Linked DNA regions of Elephas maximus indicus. The main gene of each other region encodes a partner of the protein of the gene in region 2 in a complex. Links are inferred from orthologs where the notes say so. Each region holds a gene or a part of one and is shown on either strand. Other genes may lie near its edges. The genes, in order: GIGYF1 and TNRC6C.

Region 1 (16,335 bases), on a different chromosome or scaffold from region 2:
AGATCTAATTAAAGGAAGAGGTATGTCATATCTATGTATTGGAAGACACAACATAGTAAAGACACTGATTCTTCCAAGCTGATCTGTAGATTTAATGCAATTCCTATAAAAATTCCTGCAAGAGTTTTTGTAGGTATAGACAAGCTTATTTAAAATTTTACATGGAAAGGCAAGGAAGTAAAATAGCTAAAACAATTTTGAAAAACAAAGTTGTTGTACTCACACTACTTGATTTTAAGACTTACTATATAAACACAATAATCAAGACAGAGTAGTGGGATAGAAAGAAACATCCGTGGAACCAAATAGAGAACCCAGAAACAGACTTATACAAGTACAGCCATCTGATTGTTGACAATGGTGCAAAAGCAACTCAATGGAGGAAGGATAGTCTTTTCAACAAATGGGGCTGAAGCAACTGGACATCTATAGCAAAGAACTGAACCTCGACCCTATACAAAAATTAACAAAAAAGTGGTAGTATATCTAAATATAAAACTTAAAAGTATAAAATTTGCAGGAAAAAGCATAGGGGAAAAAAATCTTCATGACCTAGGCTCAGGCTAAGAGTTCTTAGACATGATACCAAAAGTTTTTTTTTTTTTCTTTTTCATAGAAGCAAAAAGTTGGTAAGTTGTACTTTATCAAAACTAAATCATATGCTCTGTGAAAGACCACATTAACAGGATGAAGAGACAAACCACAGACTAGAAGAAAACACTCACAAATCACGTATCTGACAAAGGACTTGTACCCAGAATATATAAAGAACTTTCTAAACCCAAGAGTAAGAAAACAAACAATCCACCAGAGATGTGAAAGACTTATACAATGAAAATTATAAAACACTGCTGAAAGAGGTTAAAGAAGATTTAAACAAACGGGAAGTTGTTCCATGTTCATGGATTGGAAGACTTAATATTATTAAGATGTCAATACTACCTGTGATGGTTACTCTTATGTGCCAACTTGGCTAGGCTATTATTTTCAGTGGTTTGGCAGATACTGTGTACTGTAATCACTTTCCACTCTGTGATCTGATGTGAGCAGCCGATCAGTTGAAAGGGGAGTTTACCTGGGGGTGTGGCCTGCCTCCACTATATAAATGGACTTCTGGTAAAACTGTCTGTCTCTCAATCCTGCACTCTTCTCATTGCCTGACCTCCGGTTCTTGGGATGTAAGCCTTAAGAAGTCTCTGGCCTCCTAGCCAAAGCAGTAAGACAAGAAAAACAAATAAAAGGTATCCAGATTGGAAAAGAAGAAGTAAAATTATCTCTGTTTGCAAATGATATGATCCTATATATAGAAAATCCCTATGAGTCCGCAAGAAAACTTCTAGAGCTAACAGAGGAATTTAGCAGAATTGCACGGTACAAGGTCAACAAACATAAATCAGTGGGGTTTCCATCCACCAGCAATGAGAAATCTGAAAGGTAAATTAGGGAAACAATTCCATTTACAATAACATTTAAGAGAATAACTAGAAATAAATTTAATCAGGGATGTGAATGATTTATACAAAGAGAAGTATAAAACACTGCTGAAAGAGGTTAAAGAAGACTTAAATAAATGGAAAGATGTTCCATGTTCACGGATTGCAAGACTTAATATTTTCAGATGTCAATACTACCCAAAGTGATCTATGCGTTCAACATAATCCCGATCAAAATTCCAACAGCCTTCTTTACAGAAATGGAAAACCAACCCTGAACTTTATGTGGAATAGCAAGAGGCCCCAAATAGTGAAAGCAATGTTGCAAGAGATGAACAAAGTATGAGGACTCACACTTCCTGATTTTAAAACTTTTCTATACAGCTACAGTAATCAAAAAAGTCTGGTACTGGTATAATGATAGGCACGTAGACAAATGGAATAGAATTGAGAGTCTAGAAATAAACTCACACATTTATGGTCAACTGATTTTTAACGAGGGTGCTAAGTCCATTCAATGGGAGAAAGAAGAGTCTCTTTAATAAATGGCACTGGGAAAATTGGATTTCCACACGCAGAAAAATGAAACAGGATATGTTTCACACCATATGCAAAAAGAAATTCAAAATGGAATAAACTAAATGTACAAACTAAAACCATAAAATTCTCAGAAGAAAATGTAGGGGTGATGCTGTTGGGCCTAGCTTTTAACAACGGACTATCTAATAGCAAAAGCACAAACAGCAAAAGACAAAATAAATAAATGGAATCTCATACAAATGAAAAACTTTTGTTCATCAAAAGGCTTTACCAAAAATATGAAGAGACAAGCTACCGACTGGGAGAATATCTACGGAAACTTTATATCTGATCTAGAAGCTAGTATCTCAAATATATACAAAACTTCAACAACTTAGCAACAAAAAGACAACCCAATCATAAAATGGGGAAGGGACTTGAATAGACATTTCATCAAAGAGGACGTTCAAATGATCACCAAACACATGAAAAGATGCTCAATGTCGTTAGCCATCAGAGAGATGCAAATCAAAACCACAATGAGATTATCACTTCATTTCTACTAGGACCTCTTAAGATTAAATAAATAAATAAAAGATGTTGGCCAGGATGTGGGGAAATTGGAACCCTTATCCATTGCTGGCAGGAATCCAAACTGGTACAGCCTCTGTGGAAAAGTGTGGCAGTTCCACAAAAAACTAAAAATAGAACTAGCATATAGCCCAGGAATTCCACTCCTAGGTATATACCTGAAAGACTTGAAAGCAGAGACTCAAAGAGATAGTTGTACACCAATGTTTATTGCAGCACTATTCACAATAGCCAAAAGGTGGAAACAACCTAAATGCCCATCAACAGGTGAACCGATAAACAAAATATGTTAATACCTACAGTGGAATACTACTCAGCCAGTAGGAGAAATGCAGTCTTGATACATGCTACAATACGGATGGAGCTTGAAGACATTAGGCTGAGTGAAATAAGTCAGTCACAAAAGGACAAATATTGTATGGCCCCACTTATATAAAAGGATAAGAACAGGCAACTGTATAGAGACCCAAGTTTATTAGTGATTACCAGGGGTAGAGGGAGAGGAAAAGGGGGGCTATTGCTTGTGGAGTACTGAGTTTCAGTTTATGGTGATGGAAAAATTGCATTGATTAGGGGTATTGTAAGTGCTGTCAATAAGTTGTACACCTGGAAATAGTCGAATTGGTAAAAGTTGTGTGACATATATTTACAACAACAACAACAAAAAAGTAGCTGTCGAGGCTGCTTATGTACAACCAAATACCTCGTGGGATTTGGTTCCTTGGTTTGGAGGTCATGGTTTCGTGGGACATCCCAGAATTGGGTCTAATAGTGTGTTTAGTGCTTCTGTTCTACCTCCTAGTTCATCGCATAGTTCCCAAGTCTTAAAACCTTGCAAGTGGCCATCTAATGTACAACAATTGGTCTGTATTCATCTGGAGTAACACAGGAGGGAAAGTCAGGAGTAGGAAAAGGAAATGGAATGTATGGCTAATTGCCTCCATGAACAGCTGCCTCCTTTGCCACGAAACCAGAAGAACTGGATGGTGCCAAGCTACCATTACTGAATATTTCGATGAAAGATTCCATAAAAGAATCCTGATCAAAAGGGGGAAATGCTGCACAGAGTTTCAATGTTTTTATGGACTCTAGACTTCCTGGAGCCACGGAGGCTGGATGAACCCCTGAAACAATTGCTCTAAGATAATCTTTAAATCTTAAACCAAAAATATCCCCTGAAATCTTCTTAAAATCAGACAATAGTTTAACTTACCTAGTAAAGAATGTCTGCCTTGAGCACTGCGCTCTCTCAAGATTTATCTACATGGGATCAAACTGACAACAGCAACTTGAAAGGTTAGATAGGAAACTTAGGGGACAGTGAGTTTATTAATGGGAGAGGAACAACTCAGAAAAGGAGAGTGAGAACGGTTGTACAACCCAAAGAATATAATCAATGTCACTGAACTGTACATGTAGAAACTGTTGAATTAACGTGTGTGTATATTCTCAAGAAAATAAATAAAATTTTTGAAAAGATTGATTTAGCTATTTAGGGTCCCTTGCCCTTCCATACAAATTTGAGGATGGGCTTTTCCATTTCTGCATGGAAAGCTGTTGGAATTTTGATGGGGACTGCAGTGAATTTATAGATTGCTTTGCATAGTATTGACATCCTAACTATAGCAAGCCTTCAAACCCACAAACATGGAATGTCCTTCCATTTATTTAGGTCTTCTTTGATTTCATTTAGAAATGTTTTACAGTTTTCTGTGCACATGTCTTTCTCCTTCCTAGTTAAAATTATTCCTAGGTATTTTATTAGTGGAAACCCTGGTGGCGTAGTGGTTAAGTGCTACAGCTGCTAACCAAAGGGTCAGCAGTTCGAATCTGCCAGGCACTCCTTGGAAACTCTATGGGGCAGTTCTACTCTGTCCTATAGTGCTGCTATGAGTCGGAATCAACTCGACAGCACCGTGTTTGGTTTTTTTTTTTTTTTTTTGCCTATTGTAAATAGTAATGTTTCCTTGATTTTCTTTTCTACTTGTTCATTGCTTGTGTATTAAAAACCCAACTGCTTTTTGTGTGTGGTCTGTCTTATTAACAATACACCTAACATTTGCAGACCAGTTTACCCCTAATAGTGTGCTTTATTGAGGCATTCTCTCTTCCTGTCCTCACATCAACTCCACCAAGTGGCTATTATCCAAATATAAAGAAAGTTCCACGTTGTTTGGGGTTATGAAATTGTCAGGCGTACTTTTAACTTTAAAGCACTGTGACAAGTGCTTTATGATACAAACCACCCCAGACAGAGAGGTTAACCAACTTGCCCAAGGCCACAGTCAGTACAGGATGGAAGCAGCGCGGGAGTCCTCACTCTGAGCCGCTGCATTTTCTAGCCTGTGAGCAAGCAGCTTGCCTGACCACATAGAAGGAGCAGTGGATAATAGAAAGCTGCTGTTCCAAATCCCCGAAATATTGCCACCCTTGTTACGTAGGCCGATCAGAAAACTTAATTCATGGCCAAAAGTAATTCTGAATGTAATACATTAATGTTAAGGCCCACTGTGTCTGAAATAATTTACTACAAGCACAGTTTAGGGACATGGCAAATTGAGTTCCTTTACGCGGCCTTTTGCTTTGGTTCTTTGGGAAAAACCAGCTTGGGAGATTTTCCCCCTTAAACTCTTTTTCCTAATTTTTCGGAGAAGCAATGTGGGCGGGGGCTCCCAGGTTATTTTCTACCCCAAACGGTGTATTACTTTTGCCCAAGGGATCTTCTAGGTTAATTGACATTTCCTGGGTAAACTGTAAAAGCAACTTGATGGTTTGATACTTCCCCCTGATAACTAACAAGACCTGAGTTGATTGACATTGCAGGGGTTGACTGAGGATTGGTTGAACTGGTCTGATGAGGGAGGCCTCGCCTTGTAACTGACAAGGATCAGGATATATAAATGGCTGAACTGCAGAAGTTTTGAGAGGCCTCCTGGAAGAGAGAGGGAGATACTGGCTAAGAGCTGCCCAACAGAGAAGCAGAGCCACGTGGGAACTGAGTGATCTTGAAGCTGCTACACTGGCTGGGGTAGTTAGCAGCAAAGAGGCCTACTTCTGAACAGTTGCTACGCGGGCGGTTAACTGGCCCAATTAGCAGCAAAGAGGCTGAAGGCGGATAGCCTGAAAGCAGAGCACCCAACAGCAGAGAGGTCCAACAGCAGAAAGTTGCTGCTAGCAGAGCAGCAGCTAAGAAAGCTGACTAGGCTGTTACACTGGCTATGAGCTGGGCCAGTTAGCCATGGAAGAGCCGATGGCAGAGAGGTCTGACGGTACAGAGCTGCTACTAGCAGAGCAGCAGCTGAGAAAGCTGAGCAGGCTGCTATACTGGCTATGAGCTGGGCCAGTTAGTGGCAGGGAGCCTGACAATGGAGGGGCCTGCAAGGCAGAGAAGACAGCCACCTGGCAGAGAAGCCACACCCAACTGATCACTGGAGGCCTGTGTGTTTCCTGACACGGATCCTGCGTTCTTGCAACTTCCAAGCTGATACGGTCCTGAGTTATATAACCTGTTAACTTTCCTAATAAACCGCATAACTGTGAGTATGGTCTGTGAGTTCTGTGAGGCCACTGCAATAAATTATCAAGTCCTGCAGAGAAGTAGAGTGTCACGGGGGGAGTGGCTGGTGTCAGAAATTATGGAGAAAGTGGGGAGGCAGAGTTATAGCTGAACCTCCGCCCCACTGGAACCAGTTTTGTGCTGATCCTGTTTCTTACTCCTCAGGAATTTAGACAACTTATGAGGCTTTGCTTTAATCAGGAGCCCTGGTAGCGTGGTGGTTAATAAATCAGCTGGTAACCAAAAGGTCAACAGTTTGAATCCACCAGCCACTCCTCGGAAACCTTGTGGAGCAGTTCTACTCTGTCCTATAGGGCTGCTATGAGTCGGAATCGACTTGACGCAACAGGTTTTTTTTTGTCACTTTAATGAACTATCACCACATTGCTCAGGCTGTGTGTCTTTTCATGGTATTTGACACATGTTTTACAAGTGTTGATATCCAGCTAAATATAAACATTGGCAATTTAGGTGGGTGAAGTCAGTCTCTGTAATAAACTGATTTAACAACAAGAGAGTCCTTATCTCTTTACATTTCATTGAAGGAAAACACCACAGATGAACCTGGCATTATAAAAAAGGCAGAGATTGGCTGTTAGTCTTGAGACCTCCCTTTTATCTCAATTAATCATCTTAACTAAATCTTTGTTAAGTTCAAACGTTTGCAAATTGAAAACAACCCAGATCAAGACATTCTACAGCATAGCACCTGAATAAACAAAAGTATTTTAGGTCCAAGTGACTGTTTTCATAATACCGGATGGGAGATTCACAGTTCAGATTTAATTGTTTCCTTCCTCAAAGAGGCAGCCTATACATTCAGTGTCATCAGAAACAGCCCTCCCACTTTAGAGTCGGGGAGATTAAATGACTTGCAAAATGATACACAGGGGATCCTGCGCAATCGCCCCAACCTTCTACCCTGGAATCCAGTGTGCTGTCCTTATTATGCTACATCCACAGTGGTTTCTACTCTCAAACGCAGACTTTCACAGCAGCATTCCAGCCCCTCAACTTAAGTTTCACTTCATTTCTTGTTCAACTAGCGGTTCAGGATCCTCTTCTCTCATCAGCCCGGACTGTCACTCTTCACAAACCTACACACACTTTTCCTACCAGTTGCCATTGAGTAGAACTGCGCTCCATAGGGTTTTTATGGCAGTGACCTTATAGAAGCAGATGGCCAGGCCTTACCTCCAAGGGGTATCTAGGTGGGTTCGAACCACCAACCTTTTGGCTAGTAGCTGAGTGCTTAATCATTTGCACTACCCAGGAACTTCTGCACTTTTCCTAAATCTATCCAAATCCTGCCCTTCCCACCAGATCAGCTCAAACAGCCAGTGTCCTGGCTGCTTCCACCCCACAGAGACCCACCCTCTTTTTCCCTGTATAATCTCTTTACCATAGTTTACAATCTCGTTTGCTTATTAAATTGAGAGATTAGGCTGCTGGTAACTTCAACCACCTAGAACATAACTCCAATCCAGAAAAGTAAACCACCAACAAAAGCTTTTAAGTAGAAAAAACAGTGGCCATACACTTATTTTATTCTAGCAGTTCTCTGACTCAAGCTGCGTTCTGCTGATACACATTTTCATAGTGTTAACTGTCCTGAATATTGCGTTTCACAAATCACATTAAACCAGAAGCCCCTATTAGCTAACATTTGTGGAGTGTTTGGCTTGACGAGTACCATGCTAAATGCTTTAGGATACAAACCACAAAAGACAGGTTAACCAACTTGCCCAAGGTCACAGTCAGTAAGGGATGGAGTCCTTATTCTTAACCACTGCATTTTCCAGCCAGTAAGCAAGCAGCTTACAAGACAAGCAAGACAACACAGAAGCAGGAAAGCCAACAAAACTTAAAAAACAGACACTGCCTGGACTCTCTGTTGACCCCAAACTAAAACCATTCCTGGAGCCAAATCTTCAGACAGAGATGACTGTACTGTAAGACATAAAATGATACTCCCGAAGACTGTGCTTCTTAGTTCAAGTAGATAAAAGTAGATACGTGAGACTAAATTGGCAGTTCCTGTGTAGAGGTGAGATGAAAAGGCAGAAAGGGACAGGAGCTGGTTGAATGGACACGGGAAATACAGGATGGAAAGGAGTGTGCTGACATAGGGATAGCAACTAGGGTCACATACCAATGTGTGTATAAATTTTTGTATGAGAAACCAACTTGAGCTATAAACTTCCACTTAAAGCATGCTTAAAAAAAAAAAAAAAAGACTAAAACTACAGTGCACAGAAGCAAGAGGGTGCTTACTGAAGGAACAAAGGGCCTTCGAGATCACTCCTGAAGTCCACATTCTGTTAAGGTACCACACAAGGGACTCAAGTTCCAAGTCATGAACTTACTTTCCCGTCATGAAAAGGATTACATTGTGTTTGGTAACAGCTGTTTTAGAAAGTGGGAAAGTAAAGTCTACATTCTGGAATGACTTCCAAAGAAAACGACGAACACACACGCAAAACTTTTTCATCCTAAAAATTTCAGCGATTCGGAGGAGTCATTCTTGAAAACCTCTTTTTTAAACAAACGAAGTTTCAGCCTAACGTCTCACATTTACATAGTAGTTTGTCTCTTTCCAAAGCTTTCACATTCACCTATTTAAATTCTTACAGCAATCAATGAAGGGAACGCGGGGGTGGGTGGTGGGAACAGCATTAACACCCCTCTGTAAAAAAGACGGCACTATTTTTTTTTTTTTTTTTAAATAAAAAAGAAGCTGGGGCTCGAAACCTTCAACTCATTCGCCCGAGATCTAGAAGCTGAACCAGAAACTCCAGGTCTCACAAGCCACTGCCGCCTGGGACTGTTTCTAAGTGATGAGGTTCTTCGCTTATTTCACATATCCCAAGATGCATAATGCACATTTCTCGATTTTGTCTCTTTCAATCCAGGCGGGCTTCCTGAAGGAAGCCGACTGGTCAGGAATTGGCGAAGATGCCACTAGCCCTGGTCTCAGTCCCGAGGGTCCCGCGTCACGTGCCGGGGGTACCCCCGGGAGCTCAGGGAGAACCCCGGGGGCATCCCCCCGCCCCGCCAGCAGCAGGCCTCACGTCACGTGACGAGCCAGGCTCCCGGGTCACGTGCCGGGGCGTTCGGCGGGGCGGGCGTCAGTGCCGCGCCCCTCTGGACACGCGGGGAGCGCGCGAGGCCGTGCGGGGTCCGAGCCCGCGGGAGCCGCGGAGGGCGGTGGCGGCGACGGCGGAGGGGGCGGCCCCGCGTCCCCGCGTCCGCGTCACGTGGTGCGAGGCGGGCAGCCATCTTGCTACAAACACAAACAGAGAGGAGCGGCCGCCGCGGGAGCGCCAGCGCCCCCTCCCCCGCCGCCGCTGCCCGCCCGCCGCCCGCCCTCCGCGCGCCGCCAACGCCCTGGGACCGAACCTCGCGCCACCCGCCCGCGGTAAGCGCTCGGCGGCTTCGTGGACCCCGGCCCGCAGCCGGGCCTGGGGCAGGCCCGCCCCCGACGCCGAGGCGGCCGCGCGGAGCCTGCGAGAGCCAGAGCGCGGGCCGCCGGCCGGACCCTCCCCCGTCTCCTCCCCGAGGTCGCCGTCGCCTGCCCGGTGCGTCCGCCCTCTCGGCCCCTCCCCGACGCCCGCCGGCGGACCCTCCCCCGAAGCGGGCCGTGCCCCCGCGCGCCCTCAGAGCCCAGGGCCCTCCTGGCGCCGCTCGCCCTTCACCCCGCGCCCCGCGCACCTGGCGCCCCCTCCCTGAAGGGCACGTTGTCCTCCCCGGCCCGGCCCGCCTCCTCCCCACCCCCGCGCTCCTAACGGTCGCCCCTTCGGGCCCTTCCCAAATTCTGCCCGGGGCGGAGAGCCGATCTCCCCCGGGGGCCTCATCCCACCCGCTCGCATCCTCCGCCGGGCCCGCCGAGGGGGTCCCCGACCCTAATGGTCAGCTCTTCACAGAGCCCGTGCTGTGTGACTGGCGCTTCCTGGAGATTTTCCCCAACACGCCTCGGTGTTCTTGTGGGAATCAGCTGGGCCTTGCGGGGCTTAAAGTCCAAGCGTTCATGACTTTGGAAGCCTTTTCCCGTAATCAGACATCTCGACTGGTTCTTCACTAAAATTTCCTTTCAGCAAGCGACGTTAGTGCTTGGTCATTGGGGTCTCCTTCCTCCCAGTTGCTTGTCAGTATTAAACATCTTCTTTAACAGAGACTCTTTAATCCTTCACCAAGCTAGGCCCTCACACGCACCTCCTCAGCCCATCTCCCCTGATGCGGCAGCTCCTTGGCCACAGCCCCTCAGGTTTTGCATTTTTTCAGGTAACTGCAGAGAGACCCTTATCTTTATCACTTTTTACCCAGTCATTACCAGAATTCCCAGTAAGCTTCCACGTTTCTTCCATCGAAGTGCTTGGCACTGATAGATGCTAAATGCATACTTGGCTGGCTCTTGCCTCTGCCCACCCCAGTTTTACTCCTCTCTTGTTTCTCAAAGTCCTGTTTTCCCAAAGTTCGTGGGCTTCCCCCCAGCCTCTCCCACAGCCCCTCCAGGCTAACACGCCAGTTTCAATTTACCCGCTGCCCCTTTGCCTTGGGAAGTGAAACCATCAGTACTAATAGGCCAGTCCTGGTCTGCTTCTCCCAATATGAGTTGTCTTTGATTCTTTCCCATTTCTACTCTTCCCTTTGCAATCCCAGGCCACCCACTCTCCACCCTAGCTCGTTTTATTTCCTAGATTGTTTGGGTCTGTGTCCCCATTGTCATGTAACTGGGAAAGGTTTGGGGGCAAATCCGCCCTCTCCTCGGGGGGCAGGGGCCTGTAAGGTCTCCTATGGTGACTGAAGTCTAGAGAGTTGAGTGCTTAGACTTCTGGACTAGCTTTTTCAGCTAGTGGGTGCATTAGTGTTGTGTGTGATGCGATGGATAAAGGACCCAGTTTGGCCTGACTTTTACATCTGTGGTTGGAGTTTGGGGTAGAAAAAGTAGCCATATTTAAGAGGAGAGAAGGTGAGAAGAGGCTGCGTGAGGGTTTAAAAAAAAAAAAAAAAAGTCTGACAAAATAAAAATGGTTTTAAACACACAAAGTATGCCTGAGCGTTTGGGACAGTTAACTGTTGCTGGGCGATCCATCTCCAGTCTGGGATGGTGCTGAGGGAGGTTGGGAAACCCTGTTGAGCAGCTGCAGCTTACTTTCTTATTTTCCCTGGCTGGAGCCCCAGACTGAAAAAGGAAAAGTGTGAAAGCACTCTAAAAACCGATAAATAGTATACAAATGCCAGGTGGCATTATTATTTACCATGAGGGCTTAGAGCGTAGAGAGCTGGGGCCAGCCAGAAAGAACACAGGCTTGTACGCCCCTTTTAAGCCTCACCGTTCTCACCCAGTGGAGAATCTTTCCATCCTGAGAAAGGGCCGAGTCACCTTCGCAGACTTGGGGCTGGGCGACTGCTCCAGATGCTGGGAATTTGGAATTCTCCTGTTAATCGTGGTACCATGCTGTGCCAAGGGCCACTGCTCTGGATTGGGCCAATTTTAGAGGCGATGGGGTGTGGAAATAACGGTCTTTACTTAGTGGGTATCGGGACCACTTGTTTTTGGGTCTTTTCCTTCTCTTGAGTTCTGAACTCTGCCAGGCTTCCTTCTGTCCCCTCCAGCCTGTGTGAGGACCAGTGTATGTCCTCTCTGCTAATCTCCAGCAGGGGGCAGCCTTTTAATGGCAGTAATTCCCATGCTAGAGCAGTGAGCAGATGCTCTTGGGTATTGTTGGTAGGTGCTGTCAAGTCAGTTTTGACTCATAGTGACCCCATATGATGGCAGAACTGCCCCATAGGGTTTTCTGGGCTGTAATCTTTACAGGAGCAGGTCACCAGGTCTTTCTCCACCAGAGCAGCTGAATTGGTTTGACCCACCCAAGTTTGGTTAGCAGCAGAGCACCTAACTTTTGTACCACCTGAGTGTGTATTGAGGCCCAAGAAAGAGAAGAAATGGAAGGATAGGGAATGGGCAGATGTCGTATGTGGTAGGCATACTGAGGCAGTACAGAGAGGTAGTGGATAAGCTGGAAGGGGCCATGTGAGAAAAGCCAGGAAAATGTAAGGCAGAAAAGAATGCGGTCCCTAGTTTTCTGCTGTCTGTCTCTCCAGCTCTGGCCTTCATAGGAAGGGGATCCAAATGCTTTGTTTGAGAGTTTGTGATAGAGAAACTTTTTCCCCCTTTAAGCTATTTTCTCAAGGCTTTCTCTCCTGGGACAGTATCATAAGGGAAGGATTTTCCCACTGTTCACAGGAGAGAATGAACTGAGTAAATGTGGTTTTTGTCCTTTACCCTTCCTCATAAACACAGAACGGGCATTACCTGTGTTCACACGGAAGAGGAGGGTTTCTTAACAGTGGCACACTTGACTTTTGGGGCCAGATAATTCTTCGTGGTGGGGGTTGTCCTGTACATTGTTCAACAGCATCCTTGGCCTCTACCCACTAGCAGCCAGTAGCAACCTTTTTCCCAGTTGTGGTGATGAAAAATGTCCATCAAATACCCCCTGGGGAGCAGAGCTGCACCTTGTTTTGCGGGGGGGGGGGTGCCATCTGTGCTGCTTGACAGTGGTTCATTTGGTCTGAGGAAGGATCAGGCAGCCATCCAGCTTCTGGGACCCCAAACCCCTCTCTGGCAGGTCCTAAAGACTTGAACTTTGACTCCTAGCTTCTCCCCAAGAAGGTGGGATGGCTTTGGCCTTTTCCTGCCCAGGGGCTCTTTGTCTCCCCTGACTGCCTCCCTTGCCTCTGCAGTTTTCCTGCTTCTCACGCTTGTTTAAGCCACTTTTCCTCTGCTTGTTGCTTACACCAGGACAGAAGGTGAAGGCAAGAAGCAGAAAGCACTGAGGAAAGCTGCTGTTGCCACACCCTGGGAGGGGGGGGGGTTCCCATTTTTCTGTTTCCCTCTCGCTGCCCCTAGCCGGTCCATGTCTATAGGATGAGGTTTCGTCCCTTTGGAAGACAGGGGCTCTTCTAGAGCAAACTGGCTAGTGAGGAGTCTCAAACTACCTCTCTTGAGGTTTGTTACGAAGAACATGGGGTGTTTTTTTTGGAGTGGGGAAGACTTAGGCACACAGTAGGTTCCCCCTGAATATCTTAAGGGTTGTGGAGTAGAGAAAGAGTTAGCTTTACTCCGTTTTTCTGGGAGACCTCCTTTACCTCACTGGAAGGAAGAACTTTTCGACAGGCTTGGCCTCTCTGGTGGCCTTGTGAGGTGTGGCACGCGCCACATGTGCCATCACCAGAAACGTCCAACAGAGGCTGTCTGTGGAAGAGATGCCGCTGCTGAGGGGAGGCCCGCCTCGCTCTAGCTCATCTCCGAAAGCTGCTTTTCACCCCCAAGTGCTGCAGTTCTGTGTTTGTCACGCAGTTTTACTTCGTCTTCCTACTGTCGGCCATAGATAAGACAGCCTCTTTCCTTCGAAACCTTTGATGAAACCCTTTTCTCCTTCTTCCCAGGATTAGCGAGTCTTGGAGTTGATGGATACAGTGGTGGAGATCTGCTCCAGCCTCCCTCCCAGCCAGTGACGGAAGCTCTTGCCTAGCTCTGTGAGACACCACCTTCACCTCTGCTCAGGCGCCAACGGGGATGAGCCTCCTCCCATGAGTCTCCTCTGTTGTTCTTTAGAGGGACAGAGCGCTGTTGCTGCCTCTTTTGATATCGGCCTCTTCTGATATCAGCGATAAAGTAACTGATTTTATTTCTACTTTGTGATGGGAGAAGCCGTTCCCCAGCTTTTCTCATAATAACGTGGTTCACTTCTTGGATATTTTCTTCTACTTGTCATCGGCTTGTCCTGGGGCAGGGGGCTCAGGTGTTTATTCCTGTTTGGTGTACCTGCCCCTGGATGTGTCGGCCCAGGCTTCCCTGCCTGGAGCCTGAAGTGTGTGCCCCATCCTTGGTCCTGGGATAGTCTTCCCCATCTCCCTTTTAGTGGGTGTCTCCCCAGGCCGAGTACCTGCGCTCTAGCCACCAAATAGCCAACCCTGATTTTTTTCATATGGGAAGTAGTTTTGTCCTTAGATTTATTTCTCATTTTCCTCTCCGTAATTAACCTTTTCTGGGGTGGTTTTCCCTTTGAATGGTCCTTTACTTGTTTTTATCTCAGTTCTGAGTGTCTATATGTACTTTAGCCACTTTCCTTAGCGAATGCTGTACCATACTTTCTATCTCAGCCTTCAAGGAGAATGCTGATGACCTAGAGACTATGCTTGGTGGGTTCTCTGGCATACCTCTGGCATTTGGCTTCTTGCACGTCCGCCAGGGACCCTCAGTGTTGGCTGAATGAACTAACTGCTCACGAGGCAGAATGAAGGGGGACAGAGATGAGAAGGACCGGGGGCTGTGGTCTTCTGTGCTGGGTATCAAGCAGCCTTCAGGCAGCCTGTGGGCTTCTCCACTTATACAGGACAGGAGGGCCAGAGGTAGGGAGTCCCATCTGACCCATTAATGTAACCCACCTCTTCCCTTTGTTTCTGCTTAAGGACCTTTACCAGTTGTGAAGGTCCCTCCCCAGTCACTGCTGAGGTCAAACTAGTATCCAGTAGCTTGGGAACCCTAGTTCACTCAGCACAGGCCCCGCCTTACTTGCTTCTGGGGCAAGGCTGCCAGGTAAGTCTGAGGCAGAGGGTGGGAGAGATTGGTACCTGCATGGAAGCCCCTGCAGAGGCTGGAAGGAGCTTGAACTTCCCTGTTTTCTCCCTTTCCCCAGGTCTTTCCCCCGTATTGACTCATTTCTGATTAACTCATGGTGTGAGTTGCCACTTGCTGGCTCAGGTGAGTCCTTTAGAGCCCAGGTGGCCCACCCCCCAAGCCTGTCGCCTGTCCCTGCCAAGGTGCCGTACCTATTTCTGACCTTCTAGAGGTTCTCTGGGCTGCTCTTCTCTAAGGTCCTGCGTCCCCTATACCTCCACAGCTATTGGAGAGTGAACGCCAGGTTCTCTCTCTGCTTATTCCCTCCGACCTCGAGGAAACACGCCCAGCTCCGCAATGGCAGCAGAGACCCTCAACTTTGGGCCTGAGTGGTGAGTCACATGTGCTCTGGGTGGCATGGAGAAGCAGGATGAAGAATACGGCTACTGTGACAGCACTCCTTCTGCTTTTTCTCTGTACCTTTCCTAGGCTGAGGGCCCTTTCCAGCGGGGGCAGTGTGGCATCCCCACCCCCATCCCCTGCCATGCCCAAATACAAGCTTGCTGACTATCGTTATGGGCGAGAGGAGATGCTGGCCCTCTACATTAAGGAGAACAAGGTGGGTGTGTGGGTGGATGGGCACAGGAGGTATATGACCAAGTGGCTTGTTTAGCCTTAGCCATGGAGAGGGCCTAGGAGCACATGGTTTTTCAGCACTCCTGCCCTAAATGACAGGTCCCTGATGAGCTACAGGACAAGGAGTTTGCTGCGGTGTTACAGGAGGAGCCACTGCAGCCCCTGGCATTGGAGCCTCTGACTGAGGAGGAGCAGGTGGGGCCAGGCGGGGGACCGAGGCAGCCGGGTCCTGGGAAGGCGGCAGGCTGCAGTCGAGGTTGGGTTTGGGGAGGAGCTGGGACTGACGTTGGGAAGATAGATGGTGGAGCTTGAGGTTCTGCACGAGGGCTGGGGAGTGGTTCGGTGCCTGGGTCCTCACTCCCACCCCTGGCTCCCTCCTCAGAGAAACTTCTCCCTGTCAGTGAACAGTGTGGCTGTGCTAAGGCTGATGGGGAAAGGGGCTGGCCCCCCCCCAGGTGGCACCTCCCGTGGCAGGGGCAGCACAAGAAGCCGAGGTAGAGGGGGTTATTAAGTGTTGTAGGGGGTGGGCAGAGGTGGTGCCTGTGGTTTTGAGGTGTGGCACAGTTATCTGGTGGTTTCCCATCACCTAGTCTTCTGTACTGATCTCATGCCTTCTTCAGGCCGTGGCCGCGGTGACAGCTGCTTTTACCAAAGAAGCATTGAAGAAGGCGATGGGGCCTTTGGACGGAATCCCCGGGAGATCCAGCGTAGCCAGAGCTGGGATGACAGGTATGGGCTGAAGGAGATGTGGCATAGAGGCAGAGCGGAGAGAAACTCAAGGGTTTAGGTCCTGGAGTCCCATGGAGGGAGGCTTGGGTTTTTGTCATGAGAGGGGAACAGTGGACTTAACCAAGGAAAGTCCTTGTCAGCGATCTGTGTGCCCTCTGAGCCCTTGTGGTTTCATTCTCCCCCTTTACTTTATGATTCTCTTAGGACTCATTTGTCTCTGTGATCTTCTCTTCTGTGCCCCAGTG
Region 2 (16,718 bases):
AAGTGCTACAGCTGCCAATCAAGAGGTCGGCAGTTCAAATCCGCCAGGTGCTCCTTGGAAACTCTATGGGGCAGTTCTATTCTGTCCTATAGGGTCGCTATGAGTTGGAATCGACTCGACAGCAGCGGGTTTGGTGTTTTTTTTTGTATGTTATATATATATAATTTATAGCATGTCTTTCTTCTGTACATTAGATTAAGTCTCTGGGTGATGCAAATGGTTCAGCACTCAACTACTAGCCTAAAGGTCGGCAGAAGGAACTCATCCAGAGGCACCTTGGAAGAAGGGCCTGGCAGTCTGCTTCCGCAAGGTCACAGCCTTGAAAACTCTATGGAGCAGTCCTACTCTGCACACGTGGGGTCGCCATGAGTCAGAATCGACTTGATAGCAACTAACGACAACAAATGCTAGGTTAACCTAACCACAAAAGATAAACTTCTAATTAGATTCAATTCTATATTAGTCTTTTAAATGAAGATTCATAGTTCAATGGTTATAGCATAATTAATGTATAATAAAGATGGATTTATCAAGATTGGACAAGACTAATATCTAGAAGAAAGCAGGGGTCACAGTGAGTTGGAATTGACTCAAAGGCAACAGGTTTTTGTTTCTGGTTTTAAGAAGAAAGCACAGATGTGTGTATACAATATATTCTACAGAGTTCTCTAAAAATGTTTAAAACAGACCAGAAGTTAAGAAGGTTAAATTTCAGTTATTGAGAAAATTAAGTCAAATGTAACAGTGGATAATGAAGGTATTGCTTTCCTAACACTATGATTCGAGAATGGCGTATAATATTCCAGAACAAAGAAATTACTAATTGGTTTGGTCTAGTTTGAGCTAATTATCAAAACCAAAGCAATCCAAACTTGCTTCTGCTACGTTAGTTAACTGATTCAGTACATCACACAATCGAATCTGTAATTCTAGTCTCTCTCTTCAGAGTAGTCAGCTCTAGGGCTCGCTCACACTGCTCAGCTCTTTCTGACCTTTGAGGTGCTGCCTCATGGTGACAGTACCGCTCTCCATTCCTGGTGACTGCCAAGGGCTGGTCATCACAGTTGGCCAGGCAACTGAGTCTGGGTCTGGAGATCGGACGCTGGAGTCAGATGTGACCAACCTCTGCCATGTCCTAGCTCTGTGACCTGGGCTGTTATTTCTCTCTCTGAGCATTCATCTCCTCTCTTACAGGGTTGTTTGGAAGTACAGGAGGTGTGTGAAATAGTAGATGCTTGATAAACGTCTGCTGGGAGTACAGATCCCGGGCACAGCCCTGCGATTCACTAGCTATGCAGCCTGGGGCACTTGGCAAACTTTCACAGCTTCAGTTTACTCCTCTGTACACTGGAGAGAACACCATCAACAGTATACAGTGGCAACATCTACAAATAATAAATTTGAGGGCCTAGTACAGGGCCTGGCACAAAAGCTGTCGATGAGTGAGAATGCTGCTCTGAGGCCTCCTGACTTTGGGCAGGGGGCTAGGGCCTGGGGATGGAGGTATGAGCCAGGCCACTCTGGCCCTGCCTCACTGGCTTACAAGCTAGAGCAGGGGTTAGAGCACCAACAGTCATACTATTTGTGATGGTTAAGGTCGTGTGTCAACTTGGCTGGGCCATGATTCTCAGTGGTTTGGCAGTTATGTAACGAGGTACTTTGGCAGTTATACAATGATGCAATCGTCCTCCATGATGTGATTTGATGCAATGAGCCAACCAGTTGTAAGGGGAGTTTCCTTGGGGGCATGGCCTGAATCCAATATATATTTCGATGTTCTAATAAAGCTTGCTTGCTAGCCTCTGGATCCTGTCTCTGGCTCATCATTATCTGACCTTCGGTTCTTGGGACTTGAGCCAGTGGCCTGCTGTACTGCCTGCCAATCTTGGGATTTCTAGGCCTCTATAGCCTGTGAGGCAGCAGCCTGCCATCTGCTGATCTTGGATTCCTCAGCCTCCGTAGCCCATGAGCCAGTGGCCTGTCGTCTGACCTGCCCATCTTGGGTTCGTCAGCCCCTACAGCTACGTGAATCAGGAGAAGCCTCTAGCCTGATGCCTGACCCACGGATCTGGGACTTGCCAGCCTCTACAACTGCATGAGCCATTTCTTTAAGGTAAATCTCTCTCTGTATATATATACACGTGCTTCACTGGTTTTGCTTCTCTGGAGCACCCAGCCTAGGACGCTATTCCTACAATATAATCCTGTCATTCTATATTATCTCATTCAAGTTCAGTCAGAAATTCAGAACCACCATCTCACAGGCAGCTAATTTTGATCTGAACCAGTAATAACAGAGAGTTGCAGAAAAATTTAAACCTTGATGCTGCTCCCATTTTCTTTTTCTTGTTGCTGTCGAGTCGATTTTGACTTGTAGTGACCCTACAGAACAGAGGAGAAATGCCCCATATGGTTTCCAAGGAGCGCCTGGTGGATTCAAACTGCCAACCTTTTGGTTAGCACCCAGACTCTTAACCACTACGCCACCAGGGTTTCCACTGGTGGTGTTCATTAATGAGTTACGTAGCAGCACCGTTGGACTGATCTATGTATCATGTACATGTACCTATGTACACAGATCTATGTACAACTATCTATGTACATAGATCAAGAGGCAGTTATTAAAGGGTGTACTGAGTGGTTTAAAGTCAGGAAAGGTGTGTATCAGGGTTGTATTCTTTCACCATACCTATTCGATCTGTATGCTGGGCAAATAATCTAAGAAGCTGGACTATATGAAGAAGAACGGGGCATCAGGATTGGAGGAAGGCTCATTAACAACTTTCGTTACGCAGATGACACAACCTTGCTTGCTGAAAGTGAAGAGGACGTGAAGCACTTACTGATGAAGATCAAAGACTACAGCCTTCAGTATGGACTGCGCCTCAACATAAAGAAAACAAAAATCCTTACAACTGGACCAATAAGCCACATCATGATAAACGGAAAAAAGGTTGACATTGTGAAGGATTTCATTTTACTTGGATTTGCAATCAACACGCATGGAAGCAGCAGTCAAGAAATCAAAAGACGTATTGCACTGGGCAAATCTGCTGCAAAGGACCTCTTTAAAGTGTTGAAAAACAAAGATGTCATCTTGCGGACTAAGATGCGCCTGACCCAAGCCATGGTGTTTTCAATTGCATCATATTCATGTCAAGGCTGGACAATGAATAAGGAAGACCTAAGAATTGATGCCTTTGAATTGCGGTGCTGGCGAAGAATACTGACTATACATACCACGGGCTGCCAAAAGGACGAACAGATCTGTCCTGGGAGATGTACAGCCAGAACGCTCCTTAGAAGCAAGGATGGCGAGACTGCATCTTACATACTTTGGATGTGTTGTCAGGAGGGATCAGTCCCTAGAGAACATCACACTTGATAAAGTAGAAGGTCAGCGAAAAAGAGGAAGACCCTCAATGAGATGGACTGACACAGTGGCTGCAACAATGGGCTCAAGTGTAACAAGGACTGTGAGGACGGCGTAGGAGGTGGCAGTGTCCCGTTCTGTTGCGCACAGGGTCACTCTGGGTCGGAGCCGACTCGACAGCACCTACCAACAGATGGTGCGTTATTTAGAATTCAGAAAGCTTTTTGTTTGTTTACAAGGACATTTATAATTCTGACCTGTTCTAAGGCTAGTTAGTACAGTTACTGACAAACTGTACCCAGAGGAAGAATATTTTAGAAACAATAAAAACCCAGTAGAGTCTGGAGTTGGCGAGGAAGATCTCACTGGGACAGTGATAGGAAACAGTAACTCTGTAGCAGCAGCGCGGTACACTTCACCATCACTGTACAGTGAGCAATTTGCTACTGTTCGTGCAGAAAACAATGACAACAGAAGATAGCTGATATTGAATCTGGTTGTAAAAAGTTCACAAAACGTTAAAAAAGGAAATGGATGATGCAGAACATTTTGGCAATTCTGTACTTTTAAACGGCAATTTAAATGAGAAATCACTGCTCCTTACTCAAGATCATAAATTCAAATACAACTATGCACCACAAGCCCTTTGGGCCCTTCTAAAAATGAGCGTCATGTAAATTCACAGTGTTCCTGAGTATAAGAGAGAAAAAGTTCCTTTTCCTGTGCTGTCCTTTCATATTTACTTTATATTAAATCCATCTTGTCATATTTACTTTATATTAAATCCATCTTTTAATGTGACTCCAGTACAGAGGCAATCCCTGGGCGGTGCAAAGGTTTTGTGCTTGACTACCAACCAAAAGGCTGGCAGTTCACCACGAGGCTGTGGTGCCACGGCAGAAAGTCCTGGCAACCTACTGCCGTAACAATCACAGATAGGAGAACCCTATGGAGCAGTCTACCCTGTAAGGGATGGGGTCAGCACGAGTCAGAACGGACTCCAGGGCGGCAGGTTACAGGCAGTTTAGTGCAGAGGCACTAAAGCCAAGTGCACTGGGGGCAGAAGCCCTGGTACCCCTCAGCTTCCATCTTTACCACTGATGCCAGACCAAGACAAGCCACTCAACGCGTACTACGAGCCTCAGTGTTTTCATCTGTAAACTAATACCTGTCCTGCTGAAGTATGACATTCAGATGACGTAATATACATACACTTTACTTGGAAAACTATAAAATGTCAAACAAAAACAGAATCTCCACAGTGGCACTGCCTGAGTGAACCCTTGGTCACGAGGATCTCTATAGTTCATGCCGGCGGGTACAACTGTGTACATGTGACATTCCAATATAAAACAAAACTTAAAAATAACAGCTGTGAATACAGTTAGCCTTTGCTGAGCACCGACTGTGTGCTGGGCCCTGAGCTGAGCCCTGTCCGAGCATCATCTCGCTCGTCTTCACAGCAGCTTTCGGAGGCAGGGTGTCTCAGTTTAAGTATGAGATGCCTGAGGCTTAAAGACGGGAAGTGGTTTGCGCAAAGTTAACCAGAGCTGGTTTATGACTCCGGAGTGTGTGCTCCTCACCACTAGAAAGCACCTAAACATGTCAAGTCTGCAATGAAGATGCTCCCAGTGTCGCTCCCACTGTGCTCATTCTGAATCGCCAGGAAATCACAGTAAGAACTGTGTGCTTCCGCCAATACCCATAAGACAGCAGCAAACTCTGGACTTGGAGAATTTAAGAAAAGAGAAAGTTTTACATATCAATAGACAAAGGAGGAACAGAGAAAGAACATGTCCCTTTTTACCATAAGGAAAAGCTGGCAATGAGGAACCGGAGACTTTAAAGACATCCAGTGCCCTTTGGTCGGATCGCCTGTATCAGCGTAATCCTTGTTTAGCAGAAATCAAACCGAAGGAAAACTGTAACGCATTGCTAATAAAACTTACATTAACATCCTTTAGGCAGTTTTTTAGAGTAGGCAAATGCCAATGAAATGCAGATGTAAAACCAGTGATAAATGAAGAATTTCACAACGAATAATAAAAAGTCAGCACAAAATCTAAGTTAGATTCTGTTTTTTAACCATCAATTAAAAACTTAGTCATCTTCATCATAAACAGTTTGATCTGTCCTAAAATGTAGCCCCCCACAAATATAAATAAACTTACCTTTGGTTTTTTGATCAGCAGCCTGGGGGGAAAAAAAAAAAAATCAGAAACTCTTTAGGAATAATAACCTGTAGGATGGACCCATCTATGAAAGTATGTAAGTGGACTTCTAATACTAGAATTTTAAAATCACGATTTTGTCCAGTTAATTTTATCATTTATTATTGGGGAAAAACATACAATTGCCTACATGCTATTGATTACATGCCAACAACAATCTAAAGGCAAAAAAAAACCCACCCTGGAAAGCTCCTTTGAGCTCTATTGTGATACGGCCTGGGAGGTATGCAGCTTCAACTATAAAACGTATGAAACTAGGCAAGAGCAAAAACAAATGGCCTTACTTTGTATTTTAAATACCATGAAATCCAAGCATGTCTACAAAGGTTTACAGTGGGACTTTTAATTTTTAGGATCTACTAATAGAATTTTGTAGAAGAACGCTTGCTGAAGTTGCAGCAGTTATTCTGAGCTTTTCTGACAACATCAGCCAGACAGCCCTTTCCCCCCCAACCCCGGGCAGCTCGCTTCAAGCGGGACAGTGTGGACATTCGCCACTTCCATCAACCTTTACACGCAGCAGCTCCGGTACCTCTCGGCCCTGAAGGAAGGCAATTTGTGGCGGTCGTCCTACGTTTATCTCACTAGCACATTAGCTATTCTCCACTAATTACAGATTTAGTATCTTGATTTAAAAAGCAGAATGAAACTTAGTAATGCAATGGCTATGATCATAGAGATGAGACACAATGATTCTCAAAACAAGGAAGATCAGGAGTAACTCTAGCCAAACCTTTTTCTGAGCACCTTCCTTCTTTTTCTTTTCTTCCTGCTTTTTCTTTTTCTTTTCTTCCATCAAACGTTCCTCTTCTTGTGTTTTTTGTTCTTTCTCCCTGTCGAATATAAAGAAAAGTGGTATTAGTACGATGTCCATTTTAAATCGAAAATTGAGAGAAGCATTAGCAGCAGGAAGTTTTAAGGCAGCTGAGTCGCATATGGTGTAAGGAAGGACCCTTGAAGGACAGGTGTTAAGACACAGACATTCACCCCCATCACAGGCACCCTTTGAGAATAACAGCAAGTTGCCCTGACTTCTTCAGTGGCTCATTCATTCAGCCCATATTTGTTGAGCACCAACCTACTATCAGGCATTGTGTTCGGAGAGGAAGGTACAGAATAGAATGGAGTAAGATGCAGTTCCCACAGTTCAGCCCCAGAATATTATTTTTCAAAGTGTTGTCTCAGGGACCACAATCATCAGAATCATCTGGGTACCTGTTTAAAATGTAGAGTCCCAGCGGAGGGAGGGGTGGAGCGCAGGGCATCTTTAGGGCAGTGAGGCTACTCTGCATGATACTGTAATGGTGGACACACAACATCATGCATTTGTTAAAACACACAGGGCTATATAACACACAGAGTGAAGCATGATGTAAACCAAGGACTTTAGTTAATAGTAACATATCAATATGGTTCACCAACTGCAACAAACATAGCACATGGATGAAAGACGTTAGTAACAGGAGAGTGTGTGCAGTGGGAAGGTCATACATGGAACTGTGTACTTTCTCCACAATTTTTCTGTAAACCTAAAACTGCTTTAAGTACACAATATGGTAAATTTAAAGCCCACGAAATTGCTTACGCTTTCCCGCCCACGCCCATGTCTACGTGAGAAAGAGTAGTTCAGATATGTGCTCTTAATAAAGCTTTATCTAATCTCCCCCTAGCTAGCAGTAATCTCTTCTACCTCTAACCCCCAGTGTGCAATTTCTGTTATATCATTAATAATTTTTTTAAATCAACATTTAATCGCATTTTTATTTTATAAAGTAATAAGTGCTCATGGGGGGGGAAAGCCATAAACAGTACAAAAAGATACATAATGAAACGTAAGACTGCTGTTCCAACACCCCCACGGCCCTCTGCTTAGAGGTTAACAAAATGTTAGCAGTTTCTTGGATATCTTTAGGGTATCTCTACATACGACTATACATGTACTCATCCTTTTTTTTTTTAAATAACAAATGCAAACAGACTATTCACTCTTCTGTGTTACTCTTTTTTCACTTAATTATATACCCCACGTATACAGGGAAGCTATGTTCCTTCCCAGCTCTAAATAACGTATGTGGATGGCTAGGCTCTCGGCTCACCAATTTGAGACATTAACAATTAGTGTAATGACGGATGTGGATATGGCTCTTAGAGCACCCCCATTTTACCATCCATTACTACTTTTAGTTAAATCAATAAACAGCATTTACTTACAAAGAATATCTAAATATTTGCTGCAGAGTTAGAATATATACTGGGATTACACTTTACCTTTTGTGCAGCTGTTTTTTTCTTTTCTTTTTTTTTTTTTTTGAGTTCCCAATTGTGTTTCTTTTCCTCTTACAGTATTTTCCTTACAAAAATCCTGTTTTTGTATGCTTCCCTCCAAAATTTAAAACATGAATCCCCCCCCCCCCCCAAATCTACCTTCCAGGGCCTTCAGTCCTGCTCTGTCTGGGCTGGGAGTGCTCTGCCAGTTTTCTTGTATCATAGCTTAATGATTCTTTAATATAAACTTCTGTCTGTACCACTGTGTGATTTCTGTTTTCTGACTGGACCCAGACTGATAGAGCAGAAAGGAGGAATTAACAGACTAAGCAGAAGGAACAAAACGTACAAATGCCTCAGCAAAACATCATCATCTATTAACACTGATTTGACTTTATTAATTCAGCCATCCTGTGACTTCCCTTGTCTTACACCTTCCTAAATTACTCCCTCGATGTGCTGGAAAACATCGTCAAGTATCTTCTCAAGAAAGAACGTGTGAGAGGTTGATTTTTGGAGACCATATATGTTTGAAAACAGTTTTAGGCTGCCTTTTTGTTTGAATGGTGGCTTGGCTAAGCAGAGAATTCCACTGTTCTAGCATGTCTGATTTTTTTGATTCTCAATCCGTTTTAGGTGATATATTTTTTCTATGGAAGCTTATAGCATCTCTTTATCCCCTGGGTTCTGAAATTTCATGATGATGTACCTTGGTGTCTCCCCCCCCACCCCTCATTATTTGTGCTTTGCATTTGGTTGACTCTTTCAACATAAAAATATAATTTCAGCTATTTTCTTGAAAATGTTTTCTGTTTTCTAAATAACAACATACTGAGCCTCCTGGTTTGATTCTCTATAACTTTTCTATTTTCTACTCCATGCCTTTCTGTTATTCTATTTTCTGTGTGCTTGGCTCTACTTGGTCTTCTAATCTTTGCACTGTGCTTCTTAATGACGTTCTTGCTTTCTAATTGCTCCTTCTCCACATTTTGTTTTCGTATTATGGATGCGAAATCATCTCTGTTCTATCTGAGGATATTAGGGTTTTTCTGAAGCTTTTTTGTTTCCTACGTTACCTGTTTCTTCCGTGGACTCTTCTTCTCTTAGACTCTCTTTGATGTGGGAAGTTTTCCGCAACTGTTTGCTAATCATTGGTTGTCTCTGTTCAGGCTTAAGTGTTGATGTTGTTGTTAGGTGCTGTTGAGTCAGTTCTAATTCATACTGACCCTATGTACAGAAGAACAAAACACTGCCCGATCCTGAACCATCCCCGCAATCCTTGCTATGCTTGAACCTATTGTTGTAGCCACCATGTCAATTTATCTTGTAAAGATCTTCCTCTTTTTTGCTGACCCTCTCTATTTATCAAGCATGTTATCCTTCCCCAGGGACTGGTCCCTCCTGATAACATGTCCAATGTATGTGAGACGAAGTCTCGCCATCCTCATTTCCAAGGAGCACTCTGGCTGTATGTATTTCTTCCAAGAGACTTGTTTGTTCTTTTGGCAGTCCGTGGTATGTTCAATATTCTTCAGCAACACATAATTCAAAGGCATCAATTCTTCTTCGGTCTTCCTTATTCATTGTTCAGCTTTCGCATGCATATATGATGACCGAAACTATCATGGCTTGGGTCAGGTGCACCTTAGTCCTCAAAGTGACATCTTGCTTGACTTTAAAGAGGTCTTCTGAAGCAGATTTACCCCCAGCTTCCTTTAGTCCTCCTGTTGGTAACTGTTCCCTCATTTCACCTGGAGTCCCACTCCCACACTCACTCTCAATCTGTGGACGTTCAGGGGCAGTGGCTCAGGGATGACACTTTTGCTGGGTCTGGACTTAACAGAACCTCAGGGCTGAAAGGTGCTGCAGCATCTCTCAAACCCACAGGCCCTGGAAATGAGGCCAACACCAAGGAAGTGAAGCTGAGAAACGGAAAAAAACACGAAGTCTTGGCGACAGAGGTCCTCCAGGTCTGCAGCCTCATACCTTTAGGTTGCTCCCCAGTAATGCTGACAGCAGGAGAGTCACGCCAGGCCAATCAAGACACTCCTTGGGATTTGCAAACTGAATGGAGTGGCCAACAGCTAGATCAGATTCATCTCACTGACCATACCCTTAAGAACCTGTCCACTGGGGCCAGTTACCTAGATTCTCCAGGCCACAGTGGGCCCCTGCCCTTTCTTAGCTCGGCCCTTCTGTTTTTCCTTCAGTTCTGTCAGTTACCTCACATCTTCCTAAAAGTTACATGGCAGTTCTTTCTGCTGCTTATAACCAAAGAATCCTGACACACAAATGGTTTCTAACAAATTTATTTATTTAAACCTATTGTTGTTAGTTGCTGTCCAATCAGCTCTTACTTATGTCAACCTTATGAATAACGGAACTAAATGTTGCCTGGTCTTGCATCACCTTCATGATCGTTGGTATATTTTAGTCCATTTTTACAGCTATTGTGTCAATCCATCTCATTGAGGGTTTCCCTCATTTTTGTTAGCCCTCTACTTTACCACAAACATGACGTCCTTTTTCAGCAACTGGTCTTTCCTGATGACGTGTCCAAAGTAGTCAAGTTGAAATCTCGTCACCCTTGCTTCTAAGGAGCATTCTGGTTGTATTTCTTCTAAGATTTGTTTGTTCTTCTGGTAGTTTACAGTATATTCAACATTCTTTGCCAACAGCGCAGTTCAAAGGCATCAATTCTTGTTTTCGTTATGCAACTTTTGCACGTAAATGAGGTGACTGAAAAGACCATGGCTTGGGTCAGACGCATCTTAGTCATCAAAGTGACATTTTTGCTTTTTAAAACTTTTGCAGCAGATTTGCCCAATGCAGTATGTCCATTTGGTTTCTGGACTGATGCGTCCATGGATATTGATTGCTGATCCAAGTAGAATGAAACCACTGACAACTTCAATTTCTTCTCCGTTTATTATGATGTTGTATATCAGTCCAATTTGAGGATTTTTGTTTTTTTCATGTACAGGTGTAATCCATACTGAAGGCTGTAATCTTTGACCTTTATCAGTTAAGTACTTAACGTCATCTTCATTTTCAGCAAGCAAGTTTGTGTCATCTGCATATCGCAGGCTGGTAATGAGTCTTATTCCAAACCTGATGCTTTGTTCTTCGTATAGCCCAGTTTCTTGGATTATTTTGTCAACATGCAGCTTGAGTAAGGTGAAAGGATACAACCCGTTGTATACCTTTTCCAATTCTGAATGATTCAGTATCCCCTTTCTGTCCGAACAACTTCCTCCCTCTCCATGGACAGGTTCCGCATGCGCACAAGGAAGTGATCTGAAATTCCCACTCTTAGCAAATTGAAACCTAAACTTAACTTAGTAGTTTGAAAACCTGACTGAATTCAGCATTATTTAATTACAATTTGTCTCAAAACTAATTAGGTTCAGTAAACATTTTCACCACTATAGAAACTGTAGTATTACTTACTACATTAACATGTAAATTACAAGTATAAGAGTTTTAAGTGCCGTTTTGTGAAAAACCTTTTCTATATTTCATTTGAGTTTAGATTAGCCTTGAATTAAGTCACAAAGTAATGCTATTACCTTTTATTGGAGCTCCATTTTCTTAGTCAACTTACTTAAGGACACTTGAACGTACTTTAAATATATTTAACATAATAGAAGAAAATCCCTAACTAGTCTGAAAGACAGTAATCTTTGCTGTCAGGTCTTGGTGTGCTATGGAGCAGTTAATAAGAATGACCAGGATGTATGCGCGTTTTAAAAAATATCATTGTTTGCTAGAAATTTAAAAGCTTGTAGTGTGTAGCCAATGATCAGCGTAATGCCTTTCCCAAAAGTGCCTACCTCCAACTACAAAGGAGTTTGGAGTTGGGGAGCTGTGCTGGTTATTATTTATTGCCTCTCGAGCTCCAACCTCCTCTTTTTGTTTGCTCTGTGAAAATGCATCTGGGACCTTTACGTTTTCTTCCTCTGCCAATCGGCATGATGTTAAGCATTTTCAGTAGAGGGTGCTAGAGAGACACAGTTGGAAAAAAAAGTTTTGCATCCAGGTTCCAGTGCGCGTGCTTGCCAGGCTCCCGCCGCGGGTTTGACTTCCCCAGTGCCCAGCTCCTGCAACAGTGGCGACTTCTCCAGCACCTGTGGCCAGCAGCCTCCCCTGTCAACCTCTGCTGAGGGGATTGTAGCAGAGTGCCTCCAACAAGACCCTTTCCTGTGAGCGGCTTTCACCTGAGAAGGTGGATTTCTGGCAAGTTCTGCCAGCACGGCATTGATGAGTTCTCTGCGTCCAGTGAGCATAGCGTGACCTCTCCAGTGAGGTCTGGAGCTCGGCCTTGAGGGCTCCAACTCAGCCCTGGAGGCAGTGGCTACTCCTTATAGCTGCTATTCCTCTATCCTTTAGGGTTCTCTTTACTTCTTGCCAGCCAATCCCTCGTTGCTCTGAGTCTGTAAATGTTCCCTGTTCACATTACTGCATGGTGTCCTCCTGACTGAACCTGCACTGACAGGAAACCTCAAATTAGAGCCTTTTCACCCTGCCAATCAGCCAGAGACTTTTAAATACTGGAGCTGGGTATACCAATAAATAAATAAATAAAATTCACAGATTTGCCCAAACGATGAATAAATTACATCAAAATAAATGGCAAGTTAAATTTAATTAACAACTCACAGACCTGAAATACCAAACTAGACAGACGAGTAACTCTATTTGCCTGAACTTGGCTAATATCACTTGTCCAGGATTTTCTAACTCCATGACATATCTATGTTCCAAAACCTGCAGCACACCTGGACAAGCTGAGAAGCAGCTGTACACCACGATCACAAAAAAGGAGCACAAATCCCAGCCACACACAACTGTAGCCCAGTCACTTCAGTGAGGAAACGGAGGCCAGGGGCAGCTGTTCAATGCAAGAACCGGCCTGGAGATGGTCTGTGAACTAAGATGACTACTGTGTTTCAGGAGCTCAAAGCTGGATTCTGATTTCAGAAAACAGCAAGTACGTAAGACCTGGGCAGAAACAGCTGTATGACAACCTGCACGAGGGAAAAGTCAAATATAAAAAGAGCTGATACTGCCATCCACCCAGCCCCCGATCGAGAAACTTCTCTGAAGCCCAGGGTTTGGATGTGAGGACAGTAGCAGGCTGAGGGTATGAGCTGAAGTTATAAGCTGATAAAGATCTCAAAGGCCTACCTACACAGTTTCTATAGTGAAACTAAAAGCAGGGGAGAAAAAAATGTGACCAATTGTATTGTGCAGGGGAAAAAAACAAAACAGGTAACTAAAAGGATTATTGATACTTCACATTAAAAATGTGAAATGTAGAAACTCAGATTTCAGAAATGATGAAGAGAATTACTGGAAAAAATTCAATTGTTGAAAAAATTTCGATTGATTTTCTATTTTATTTTCAAGCAAACCAGGTTCATATGCCAACAAAATTGTCTGGGTAGAGATCCTAGGGAGTCAACCAAATTATGAAAGAGTGTTCTATTATCTGCCACATCGCTCTTATGTAATGAGGGTTAATCTTAGTCGTTCATTCAACAAACAGCATACAGTTTACCGGACCAAATTGGACCTGCTCAGTCTCGTACTGCGTGTACTAACAAGTACTTACTAGTTACAAATAGTTGTTTCTGTGCCTTAAACTACTGCCTTGGGATTACCGTCTTAAATCAACTCTAATGCCCAAAGTGTAAATCTGTATGGACTATGTACTTGATACCGTGTCCGCACATGGATTTTAAAAAGCAAAGGTTTCCTACTGCTCTCAAAGTCATCTTACTGCTAGTTGCCGCCATTTTGGCTTTCGGATTTTCTAAAGAATACAAAACAAAGCAAAACAAGAAGTCTAGAGTTTACCTCTTCAAAAGACTTCGGTGGAACCACATGTATGCAGAGCTAACCTATAATTTGCCCCACAGTAAAAAACAATTAGCAATTTACCACATTATGTTACTATTTATGATTCAATTCCTCTCTCTGTCCTTTACGAATCCTCATTAACCATGAGAACATACAACAGTTCCGTAAGGGGAGAGTTTCCCTACCACTTAGGTCCAAAAGTAAGTTTCGCAGGTGGTACCTCACCCAGGCAGCACAGAAAAAACCACTGGACAGCTCCCTCCCTGTCCTGGAGCACAGGTAAAACCAAAAACCAAACCCACTGCCCTCAAGTCCAGCTCATAGCAACCCTATAGGACAGAGAAGCTACCCATAGTTTCCTAGTAGATTTAAATTGCCAACCTTTTCGTTAGCAGCCGTAACTCTTAACCACCATGCCACCAGGGTTTCCTAGAGCATAGGCAAGGTACCAAAAAACCCAAACCAAACCCACTGCCAGTGAGTTGATTCCAACTCACAGCAGCTCTTTTTATAGGACGGAGTAAAACTGCCCCGTAGGGTTTCCAAGGCTGAAATCTTCACGAAAGTAGACTGTCACATCCTTCTCTTGCAGCAGCGGTTCTGAACCACTGACCTTTTTGGTTAGCAGCCAAGGGCTTCATCACTGTACCACCAGGACTCCTTCCTATAGGCAAGAGTAGGATCTAACAACCAAAAGCATGATGGGAAAACCCAGTGAATTCTCCAAAAGTCAGCAATTCTCTAGGAAGCCAAGGCAACACAGGACATACATGAAGGTTTCTGATAGTTTTGCTTGATTCACACAAAGGTAAACACAGAAAATCAAATAACTCTCCATAAATACTAAGTTCCAACTGAAGAAATACTAGGGCGACAGAGAGCCTGAGGTCACATTCTTTGGAAAAATTAATGACAGCAATATCTCTCAAAAATAAAGAGATGATACCACCATCCACCCAGCCCCAGACCTAGAATAGCTGTCATTTACTAAGCACAGAGCTAGAAGGCCTTTTAAATAGATCTCATCCACGCCTCAAAACAACCTTCCTAAGATGGACATCATCCCATCTTAAAGGAGAGGAATCTGAATACAGAGGGTCTCAGTGAGTAGCCCAAGGTGACACAGTAAGTGTCAGAGCTGTTGTCCAAGTTGAGGTGTGACTGAGACCCAAGCATCTTGCACCACACTGCATCCTAGAGGAGCATGCACTCTATGCAGGCCGAGTGACAGCTTCAGACTGAAAACGAACTGTGGGAAGGATGGCCACATTTTTAAGACACTGAAGAGCCTAACAAAAACAACCTCTTGGATAATACATTAGTTAGAGTACAGGTACAGGTGACACTGCTATAAAAAAGAGATTCCAAAATACAATGTCCTCAAGATATATTTCTCCCCCACAATCCAGGGGCTGGCTGACATCTCTATTCCATGAGGTCATTTAGAGACCTGGGTTCTTTTCATACTGTTGCCCCTCTTCCCTTATGGTACTATCTTTATCTTTGCCTCCCTGGTGAAAGCTGACTCATCAGCACCATGGCCACCTTTCCAGCCACAAAGAGGAGGGAAAATAAGAATTGGAGGGCAAATAATTTCTTTTGATTCATGCCCGGGAAGTTCACATTTCATTTCTACTCACATCCAATTAATCACAACTTATTCACATGTCCATATCTAGATACGAGGAAGGCTGGGGGAGAAGGCTCTGGATGTGCTCGTCTGGAGCTTCTTCTAAAAGGAAGAGTGGGACAATGTATTCAGGGGGATAGTTAACAGTATCTGGAACCTACAGATGGCCCGCCCACTTCTACCTGGAGATAAAAGTGGTTATAATCAGGAACCAGTTGTTGTCGATTCCAATTCATGACAATCCCAGGTGTGTCAGAACGCTCCAGAGGATTTTCAATGGCTGACTTATCGGAAGTAGATCCCCAAGCCTTTCTTCCAAGGTGCCTCTGGATGAACTAGAGCCACCAACCTTTCGGTTAGCAATTAAGCATGTTAACACCAAGGGACTCCTAAAAATGGGTATGATATTCCTAAAAAAGGAAGATATACATATACAGACACAATTTGAATGTGTGTGTTACCTGAACAAATGATACATAAATTAAGTACCCAAAAGTCAACTCTGTAGAGTAAGATCAAAATGATGTTAGGCAGATCAAGATTCCTGCAATGGCTACAGAGAAATCTTACTAATGCTTCCACGGAATGACTGAGCACCGCAGGTTCTCAGTAAACCTGCCAGAACAAATCTGTTACAAATACCACATTTTATCTAATCTAAGATGCCTTCAATTATTAGATACACCATTATTTTATGCACTACTAAGAAGGAAAAAATGCTGCCAACGACGTCATGATATGCCAATGGTGTCACGATATGCCAACGGCGTCATGATATGCCAATGGCGTCACGATATGCCGCTGGCTCTAAGATGCATACCAAGTTCAGGGATGTTAAAAACAGGAAAAAGTCTTTCTTAGAACAAATGAAACATAATATACCTCTAAGGAAGCAATCTGAATTGATCTACCCTATGAAATTACTGGATAAAAACCAGAAAGACAAATTATTATAGTTGCTAATAGGCTACTTCTTAGGGTGATGACATAAATAAATATATCCCATCAAGGTCATACCTATACTTCATGAGCTTTTAAAAAAAAAAAACGTAATTTTGTGGGAGAGAGAGACAACTAACTTCCCCAAACATCCATTACGATTGTGCTAAAAAAGTACAAGGTGCTATGAGAGCACACACAGGGGAGGGCTCTGGCCTCTCAGGATATCATGGAAGATTTCTATGGCCTGAGCTATGCTCTGAAGGACAGCTAGCCGAAAGGGTGGGGGAACAACAGGTACGAGAAAGCTCTATAACGAAAGAAATATGACATGCTCAATAAATGGCAAGATGACCAATGGGCCTAAAGCATAGCAAACAGCGGAAGAAATGGCTAGGATAGGTCTCCCAGGGTACAG

What was found.
Region 1: the proteins of TNRC6C (region 2) and GIGYF1 are in contact, whole or in part, in a crystal structure (PDB 7RUQ), measured with the Homo sapiens proteins. The link is inferred for Elephas maximus indicus from reciprocal best matches to the Homo sapiens genes TNRC6C and GIGYF1. Residues at the interface, in NP_001136112.2 of Homo sapiens: Arg1719, Pro1720, Pro1721, Pro1722, Gly1723, Leu1724, Thr1725; in NP_001362694.1 of Homo sapiens: Tyr479, Asp481, Pro482, Gln487, Phe490, Trp498, Tyr503, Phe504, Leu508.

What each region holds. Positions count from the first base shown.
Region 1 is NC_064830.1:92,091,122-92,107,456, reverse strand, and holds the start of GIGYF1 (GRB10-interacting GYF protein 1), read left to right. Parts: upstream 1-9,252; 5' UTR 9,253-9,517; intron 9,518-9,548; exon of another isoform or gene 9,549-9,677; intron 9,678-13,551; 5' UTR 13,552-13,641; exon of another isoform or gene 13,642-14,577; 5' UTR 14,578-14,704; intron 14,705-14,804; 5' UTR 14,805-14,869; intron 14,870-15,008; 5' UTR 15,009-15,082; coding exon 15,083-15,117; intron 15,118-15,214; coding exon 15,215-15,344; intron 15,345-15,460; coding exon 15,461-15,556; intron 15,557-15,743; coding exon 15,744-15,855; intron 15,856-15,981; coding exon 15,982-16,090; intron 16,091-16,335. UniProt on the Homo sapiens protein: May act cooperatively with GRB10 to regulate tyrosine kinase receptor signaling. May increase IGF1 receptor phosphorylation under IGF1 stimulation as well as phosphorylation of IRS1 and SHC1.
Region 2 is NC_064837.1:67,969,196-67,985,913, reverse strand, and holds the start of TNRC6C (trinucleotide repeat-containing gene 6C protein), read right to left. Parts: upstream 7,859-16,718; 5' UTR 6,479-7,858; coding exon 6,338-6,478; intron 5,567-6,337; coding exon 5,545-5,566; intron 1-5,544. UniProt on the Homo sapiens protein: Plays a role in RNA-mediated gene silencing by micro-RNAs (miRNAs). Required for miRNA-dependent translational repression of complementary mRNAs by argonaute family proteins.